Linked DNA regions of Arabidopsis thaliana. The protein of the gene in region 1 interacts with the protein of each later gene in a pairwise test. Each region holds a gene or a part of one and is shown on either strand. Other genes may lie near its edges.

Region 1 (4,673 bases):
ACTTCAACTAGAACTAAAATAATGAAACCAAATGATTCAACAAGATCATAGAGACAGTGGGATACTCTTTTGCACGTAATTAAAGGAGAAGTCCACAAATATTGTTAATTTTGCCAACATGGTAATAGAAAAACCCTGACGATATGACCCAAAGTATGAATCTTTTGAGTTTTGCATCTTAGACAGATAATAACGATACTGAACAAGAATCATAGAGATAAAAAACTTCAGAAACTAACAATCCTTGTTGAATCTAAAGCAAATTTGGGTCAAATCAATCAGAAAACTCACCGATTTTCATAGCATTGCTATTGGTGAATAGATACATAAGAAGATGAACAGTTCTCATACTGAATCTCTGTTGATAAGAAGAGAGAGCTCCTTGAAGCTCCTTATCATCAATAAAGCCACTACCATCTTGATCTGCAGCCTGAAAGCAAGCCACTATATTCGGATCTGTCCCCGGAGCAAAACCTGACGGAATCAGAGAAGCAAAAGGACTTCCATAAGAGGCTTGCGGAGGATAACCTCCGTATCCGCCACCGTGACCAGAAGACGCTGGACGAGGTGGAGCACCACCGTAACTTCCATAGTCAGAAACCCCATGCGGTGGAGTAGCTCCGTATCCTCCACCGTGCCCAGACGGCTGCGACGGACGAGGTCCAGCACCGTAACTTCCGTAATCTGAAGATCCAGACGGTGGTGGAGCTCCGTAGCCTCCTCCGTATGGTTTCTCCTTTGGCGGCTTGTTGTAGTCTCCTGGAGAAGGCGCGTACGGAGCTGAAGGAGGCGGTGCTCCGTATGATGAAGATCCGTACGTCGGCGCAGAAGAGGATGATGATTGTGGTTTAGATGCGCCGTAGGGTACAGCGTAAGGAGAAGAGGTTGTTGATGATCCGTAGGGAGGATTGTTTCCGCCGGAAGAGTAAGGTGGTTGAGGTGGTGGAGGTTGATTACCGCCGCCGTAACCGTAACCGTAACCTTGGCTAGTCGGAGGATATCCTGACATCGATGAAATGACTTGACAATTAAGAAAACAAAAACCGAAACTTCGAAGAGAGATCAGAAATAAAGGATCTTAAAGTTTTGAGATTTTCGTCGAAAGAGAAAATAAAAATCAAAGCTTTGAATGTGATATTTAGTTGACCTCAAGCTTGTGTCAGATTGTCAAGGACACTCTTGGGAAATTTCTCTCTAATTTCAAACTATTTACAATAATGCCATTGGAATTAGATCTAACCGACACTATAATTAGCGGGGGTTTTAGTTCGGTTTAAGACACTAATTTCGAACGGTTTGATATATTGTATTAGTTCGTTTGATTTGTGTTGTAATTAATTTCAAATAGCCTCAACAGAATTATCTTCATATATTTTATCTTATTAAAATTATCATATTTCATGAAACATAAAAAAATAGTAGTATTATATACTCTTACTTGAATGTAATTTTCTTCACCATAACCTCTAAATCTTTTAACCAAATCCATATAGTTTCACAATACAAATATCGATTTGATAATATCGTCGTTATTTAGGCAACGATTTTGATATTATCTACTTAATTTAATTAACAAGCAAATAATACGTTACAAATACAAGGGTTACTTAGTTAGACATTAATTAATAAAAGCAAAGGCTTAACTTTATTTGTTCATCTAAAAGCTTTTTGTGTCCTTGCCGTTCCATGCTCCAAGTAAGGACCTGATTTCTCTCGTTTTCTCTTTCTCTCTCTCTCTCTCTCATTCTCTCAACGAAATCTCGATCTCGTCGAGGAAGAAGAAGAACCCAGATCAGAAAACATAACAACAATGTCGTCGTCTGCGAAGAAACAAACCCTGTTCATATCGACATTAATCATCTCATGGTACTCTTCAAACATCGGTGTTCTTCTCCTCAACAAGTTCCTTCTCTCGAATTACGGATTCAAATTCCCGATTTTTCTCACAATGTGTCACATGTCCGCTTGCGCTATCCTTAGCTACATCTCCATTGTTTTCCTCAAGCTTGTTCCTCTCCAACATCTCAAATCTCGTTCTCAATTCCTTAAGGTTGCTACTCTCAGCATCGTCTTTTGTGCTTCCGTCGTCGGTGGTAACATCTCCCTTCGTTACCTTCCTGTCTCTTTCAATCAAGCCGTCGGTGCTACGACGCCGTTTTTCACGGCTCTGTTTGCTTATCTTATGACCTTTAAGAGAGAAGCTTGGGTTACTTATGGTGCTCTCGTCCCTGTCGTCGCCGGTGTCGTCATCGCCAGTGGGGTAAGCCTTTTTGTTCTGTTCTCAATTCTCTTAACAATGTCAGTGTTGAATGTTAGGTTTCCTGGACCTCCCTAGATTTGAAATTCATGTTTTTTTTTGGAAAGATCCAATTTGGATTCAGATCACTGATCCGTAAATAGATGTTAATGTTGAAAGACCTAAACTTGGACAAAGGTCTAAACTTTGAAATCAGGGCAAATTTGAGTGTTGTTGTTATCTAAAAAGCTTCAGCCTTTTATGGTTTAATCAGGTGTAGAATTTGGTAGAACATCATTTTGGGATCTAACCTTCCTTATTTCTCCGTAAAGGTGATATCTTTATACTGTTTTTGTACTTCTCTGAAGCTTGTCAAGTGGTTATATCATATCCTTGTTTTGTGTGTTTTGAATTTGTATCATTGTGAAGAGACGATCTTATTGCTATTTTTTGTATGTATGATCTTGATCTAAGTACCAGTTTTACATTGCAGGGTGAGCCAGGATTTCACTGGTTTGGGTTCATAATGTGCATTAGTGCTACTGCGGCAAGAGCCTTTAAATCTGTTCTTCAAGGCATCTTACTTTCTTCAGAGGGGTAAGTAATATATCAGAATATGACCTTGATCTTATCCTAATAGAATTTAAGATTCTGCTAGCAGTTAGATGAGCAAATCAGGAAACTTTTGTCAAATCAAGAAATCTCATAAATGATTGGTTAGGTAGAATGTTGTAATATATCACTTTATCAGGTTAAGATTTTAATTCATAGAATTAGATTGTTAACTACCAAAGATATTCATCTCCACAAACACTAGTGCATCTTTATGTAACTTTTTTGTTCTTCCTGCAGGGAAAAATTGAACTCAATGAATTTGATGTTGTATATGTCTCCCATAGCTGTCATTGCTCTTCTTCCCGTTACGCTATTTATGGAACCAGACGTGATCAGTGTGACCTTGACGCTTGCAAAACAACATCAGTACATGTGGATACTTCTTCTGGTTAACTCTGTCATGGCTTATTCAGCCAATCTGTTGAATTTTCTGGTTACCAAACACACAAGCGCCCTCACCCTCCAGGTAAACCTATTTGCCTCTCCTTTTCTCACAGGAGAGCTCCATCTTGGAGATAACGAGACTAGCAATGTTGATTGTGTTACGCATTGTGCAGGTTCTTGGAAATGCTAAAGGAGCAGTTGCAGTGGTGATTTCTATCTTGATCTTTCAAAACCCGGTTACGGTTATGGGAATTGGCGGGTACTCCATAACCGTCCTTGGGGTGGTTGCTTATGGAGAGACAAAACGCAGATTTAGATGAACTCTCAGACATTAGCAAGTGAGACAACATAGCTTCTCTATGTTTGTTTCTTCATCTGTTCAAGACTCATCCTTAGGACCTGAAATTTTTGGGCATTTAGGAGATGAGAATTTATCAATAGTGATTTTTTGTAACTATTTTATACGCACTTTATCATGTAATATGTATTTGGACTATGTTAGATTTGATGGTGAGATAATCATTTTTGTGTGTTTCCTGGTTGAAATACCATTTTGGTTATTGAACTTATTAATAACAAATATTACTCCAAGCTTACATTTTTTTTAGCAAAAAAAAAAATATTACTCCAAGCTATGAAGGTTTGGCCAATTACGTTTTGCTTAGCCCAAACAAAACTTGTTTTTTGTTGTTTGCTTATTTTAATCATTTAATGTCTCTATATCTTCTTTTTTACTTTCTTTTTGTGAAAAAAAATGACAACATTCAAATGTTTTTTACTCAAAAATTATAATTAAAAAAAAAAACAATTATAGATTGTGAACGCAAATTTTCATGATGTTGTGCATTTTTATAAATGAAATTTTTTTAAGAAGACATGACATTATTATAACTTGTAAACGTTAACATACTGTAAATCTTTAAAATATTTAGAGAAAACTTACTAATGATATATGTTTTCTTATGCATGCTGAGATAATTCTGATTGGAAGATTCTTATAGTAGCTTCCAAAGAGCTTTTTAATATAAATCGATAAATAAGTGGACGGCTTACCAACAATGACAAAAGTTTAGTTTCGATTTACTTTTATGCATTGGAATATAGTTTCTGGCTTGTCGCCGACGTGCAAACCATTATCACATTAACATTCTTTAGGAGGGGAAGATAGTCTTATAGTTTTTAAATACTCTGCTCTCTTCTAACTTCTAATAAAACAATCATTTTTCAACCCCAAAAATAAAATAAAATAAACTCGTGAATGATTGAATCACAAGTCAATTCAAGTTATTTGAATATGGAATATATATTTTTATAACGTGTTTTATTATGTTCTAGCATTTATATATAGGAATTTAATAAAATCAAAGACGTTAATTCGTTTTACTTTCTGAAACATTGGTTGTCAACGTAGGCAAGACCTTAGTTAGGTCAAGCCTTT
Region 2 (3,838 bases), on another chromosome or scaffold:
ATCGAAGCAATGGGGTATTTGGACCGAAAGTTCCTCAAGGACATGAACAAGTTCCTATCAACCTCACGGTTCTGAGGAGTCTGCGTGTTAACATGTGGTTTAAGACGGGTTGATTGTAATACTCTTTTCGCCTTGTCTATGCTTGGCTCTGTATTCTTTGGTAGTAGAACCTGAGCCGATGGCTTCATCCGGTCAAGCCCCCGGAGAATCCAGTTTCCAAGATTCCGACCAATAACCATGTCTCTCTGTTGTATGTTCTTGTGGACCCTAAGTGCCATATCAAAGATTTGATAAGTCCTCCTGCATAAAAGGAAGGAAAGAGAGAGAAAGTTAACACACCAATCGTCTCAGTCGGTAATGGAAATCTCAAATACACAACTCAAGACTCGTTTAACAGTAGCATTATCTATACGACTGTATGACCTTAGCATCAACAAATATATTTCCTAGCGACAACTACACTTACAAATCCCAAACGGGCACAATATAAGACTTCAATCCAGGAAACACCAGATGTTCTATCTCTCCCTCTATGAATAAATGCATCATAGCTTCGTGTCACTCTACTCTTGAATCTCACATCGAATGGTTCAAGAGCAATGTATAGAATTACGAAATCACATAAGTAAGTTCAACGAATCAAAACCGTGGAAATAGGACTAGCCTACCTCTTGATTTTACTTAAATCCAACCACTTGCATTGCATTGCATTGCTTAAATCACATTTTTATAGCGATACGGGAGTCAGAACAAAACTAACTGGACAGTAGAAAATCGAAATCAACCTAAACACAATAAACAATCAGAACGATACATCAATAACAAAGCAGTTTCATCAATTGAAGAGGCCAATTCATATACAAAGAAACGTATTTCCAGTCAAACCTAAATCAGAAACAACCAAATCGCAAAATCCACAAAAAGAAAAGCGTAAAGATGAAAGAAACTTCACCGATGCATAAAATCTCGAATCCTTGGATGCTTAGGGCTAACAAGCCGACGCTGGGTCTTCAATGCGAGCCGGTAAGTCCGCCTAATCCCCAAGAAGTAAGCTGTTCCTAGAGCTAACTCCCACAACACCATTACTTTCTACAACTTTCTTCTTCGTCTTCCTCTTTGTCACCTTCTTTCTTCCTCAACGTATTTGAATACAATCTACAATTTTCCTTTGAAAGAGCCGCCAGAAATTTCAATCTCACTCCCATCGGAATCACAGATCCTCCGTTTCTAGTTTAAAGCACCAGGTTGCTTGATCTGCGATACAATCTTGACCGTCCATTTTACTTGTTCGTCAAGATTTTATTTTAAATGTTTTAATGGGCTGGGCTTTTGTAGCCTTGAAATATGCCCATATAGACGAGACGGACAAACTTTTTATGGATAATTTAGGTTTTTGTTCACCAATCATAATTTTTGGTATGCAATGTTTTTTTTTCTTTTTTTTTAGCAATAATTATTATTTTTGTGTGAAGCAATAATAATTTGTTTGCTTGAAACGATAAGATTTATATATATATTCGCTCTAAAAATAGAATAAACTTCAGCAATCAGATTAATCCGAATCAATTCCGTTGGTGTTACAGTTATTCTACACTCTCTATAGATCCCAACCTCTTTCTTTTAAATATTTATATACATCTCTCTTTTTTTGTGAATTTTTTTACTAGATTCCAAAGTAAATGAGTAGCGAATACGACAACTCTCGTTATTAGACAGAGATATATAATAATCGCGTAATAATTATTTCCTATTTAAATATGATAAACTCATGTGTGTGCATATTTACTTTTTATTTACTTATGGGATACTCACCAATATTTATTTGATACGAACCATAACCTTCACTAAGTTTTCTTTCTCTAGCCTCCCTCATCTTTCTCTCTCTGTCGGCGATGCAGAGGATATCGTTAGACTCATCAGCTTCGAAGCTCCATAGCTATGGAGGACGAAAGGACGATACCTACGATATTGATGACTTGAAACCAGCTTCCTCTTCTCCTTCTTCGTCGTCATCCGCAGTAGATTACGACGATCACGAGCTCAAAGACTTTAAGCCGCGACGGTTATCATCGTTGCAATCTCCTTTTGTTACGACGAATCAGAAACAAGAGAAGCTTGTTCACTTCATTCCGATTCTCACTCTCATCTGCTTTATCATCCTTTACCTCACTTCTTACGCTCCGTCTCAATCAGGTTGGCTTCTCCTATTCAAAATCCGACGATCCACCTGTTTTTGATTGATTGATTGATCTTCTCGTGTTTATTGATTTTGATCGGTTTTTCGATTTTGAATTTTTCTCAGATTTGGCTCAGTTTAATGGATTCATGCGTCCTTCGAAACATCTAGGTACATTGCAGATTCGATTCCCATTTCGAATTTTATTTCTGTTGGTAACACATTGAATTTGAGTTCCTGATTTGATTGTTTTGATCTCCACTAGAATCATCCGACGAAAATGGCGACGAAATTTCTGGATTTATCAGAGCCGATACTCTATCCATCCGTAGTAGTGTACGAAACCTACAAGAGACGGAAAGCTTCACGACGAAATCACTTCCCCGTCGCCGGACTTCTCACCGGAAAACCGCCGACTTCTAGCAATCGCAATCTTAATTTTTATTCGTCGCATCGCATGTCGATTTGTTTACTTCCAATTAAAATATTGCGAGTCGCGTTTCTGTTATAACTGATCGAAAGGCAGATAAAATCGAATAAAACCTCGCCGCCGATGAAATTATAACTGTCATGCTAGAGTACGCTGACAGAGGCGTAGGTTAACAGTAGAGTGAAGTAGGAGTAGGTTAGAGTGCGCCTTTAAGAGTAGTTATGCAATCCAGCTGGAATTTTTGGACCGTTACAGTGCCTCGTGCTTCGGATTAATATTCCAGCTGGAAAGAATCGTCGTTGTTGTTCCTCTAGGCATTTACTTGGATTCAGTGAAATCAGAAAATTATTACTACTATGAGGAGTTAAAGTGACCAATCTCCTCTATTCAATAATCGTTTTTAAATATTCCTCTATTTATGAATCAAATTCGATAATCAGCCACATGTATTATTTTTATTGAATTTGAAACTTTTAATCAATTAATTAATTGGTACCAAACCATACTTGTTAAACCGGAATTTATCCAAAAATGAAACTGATGAATTTCATACATTATTTTCTAAAAAATTACATTACACTACTACTAAATTATCATCATAGGTTCAATATATATCCAAATCGATCAAATAATTGCTGAACTAAAACTTAAAGAAGCTGAAGGAATCAAATCTAAAACGTAATGGCAAGTGTTAATGTGTCCGGTTCGTCATATCAACGTGTTAATTAGGGTGCTCCACTTGTGATTAATTTGATCAGGAAAATAATGAAAAAGGACATTTGGTGAGATAAATGATGCCACGCGGTCTGTCATAATGACGACTGTCACTTTAGTCCACAATCATTATCGTGACGCTCCTCTCTCATTCACTTGTACGTGTCAAATAATCATTGGCTTGTTCGGTTAATTACCTTCCACTTTTTAATCTTGTTGACGCAGTTTCCTCTTACTATTTGTTGTTATTTTAAGTGGATTTATGACTTGAAGCCTAAGTTTTGCAAATAGTGTCATTCATAGGATTCGCTTTCTTATAGATATTTAAGCATGATCTCTAATTATATTGTTTCGTTCTATCCATTAAATCTGATGCAAATGATGTTGACGTGTATACATTGACTTCTAGGAGATTCGTTGTAGAGTTTGTCTCAGCTACCAATGGCACTATAGTTCACATTGTGAGAGACTTCGCCTATGGTCTACTCTCACGCCTAATGTTACTGACAATGTTTTTT

What was found.
Region 2: the proteins of AT5G04160 (region 1) and AT2G35470 interact in a two-hybrid assay, tested with the Arabidopsis thaliana proteins (one large-scale study listed by BioGRID).

The regions. Positions count from the first base shown.
Region 1 is NC_003076.8:1,141,915-1,146,587, reverse strand, and holds AT5G04160 (Nucleotide-sugar transporter family protein), read left to right. Parts: upstream 1-1,579; 5' UTR 1,580-1,810; coding exon 1,811-2,260; intron 2,261-2,729; coding exon 2,730-2,833; intron 2,834-3,088; coding exon 3,089-3,317; intron 3,318-3,408; coding exon 3,409-3,555; 3' UTR 3,556-3,853; downstream 3,854-4,673. Other genes in the region: AT5G04170 (Calcium-binding EF-hand family protein), read right to left, coding at 292-1,009. UniProt on the Arabidopsis thaliana protein: UDP-glucuronic acid transporter that modulates the polysaccharide composition of seed mucilage. Transports UDP-glucuronic acid (UDP-GlcA) and UDP-galacturonic acid (UDP-GalA) in vitro.
Region 2 is NC_003071.7:14,907,775-14,911,612, reverse strand, and holds AT2G35470 (ribosome maturation factor), read left to right. Parts: upstream 1-1,749; 5' UTR 1,750-1,892; coding exon 1,893-2,193; intron 2,194-2,302; coding exon 2,303-2,347; intron 2,348-2,441; coding exon 2,442-2,599; 3' UTR 2,600-3,126; downstream 3,127-3,838. Other genes in the region: AT2G35480 (envelope glycoprotein), read right to left, coding at 1-300, 953-1,083.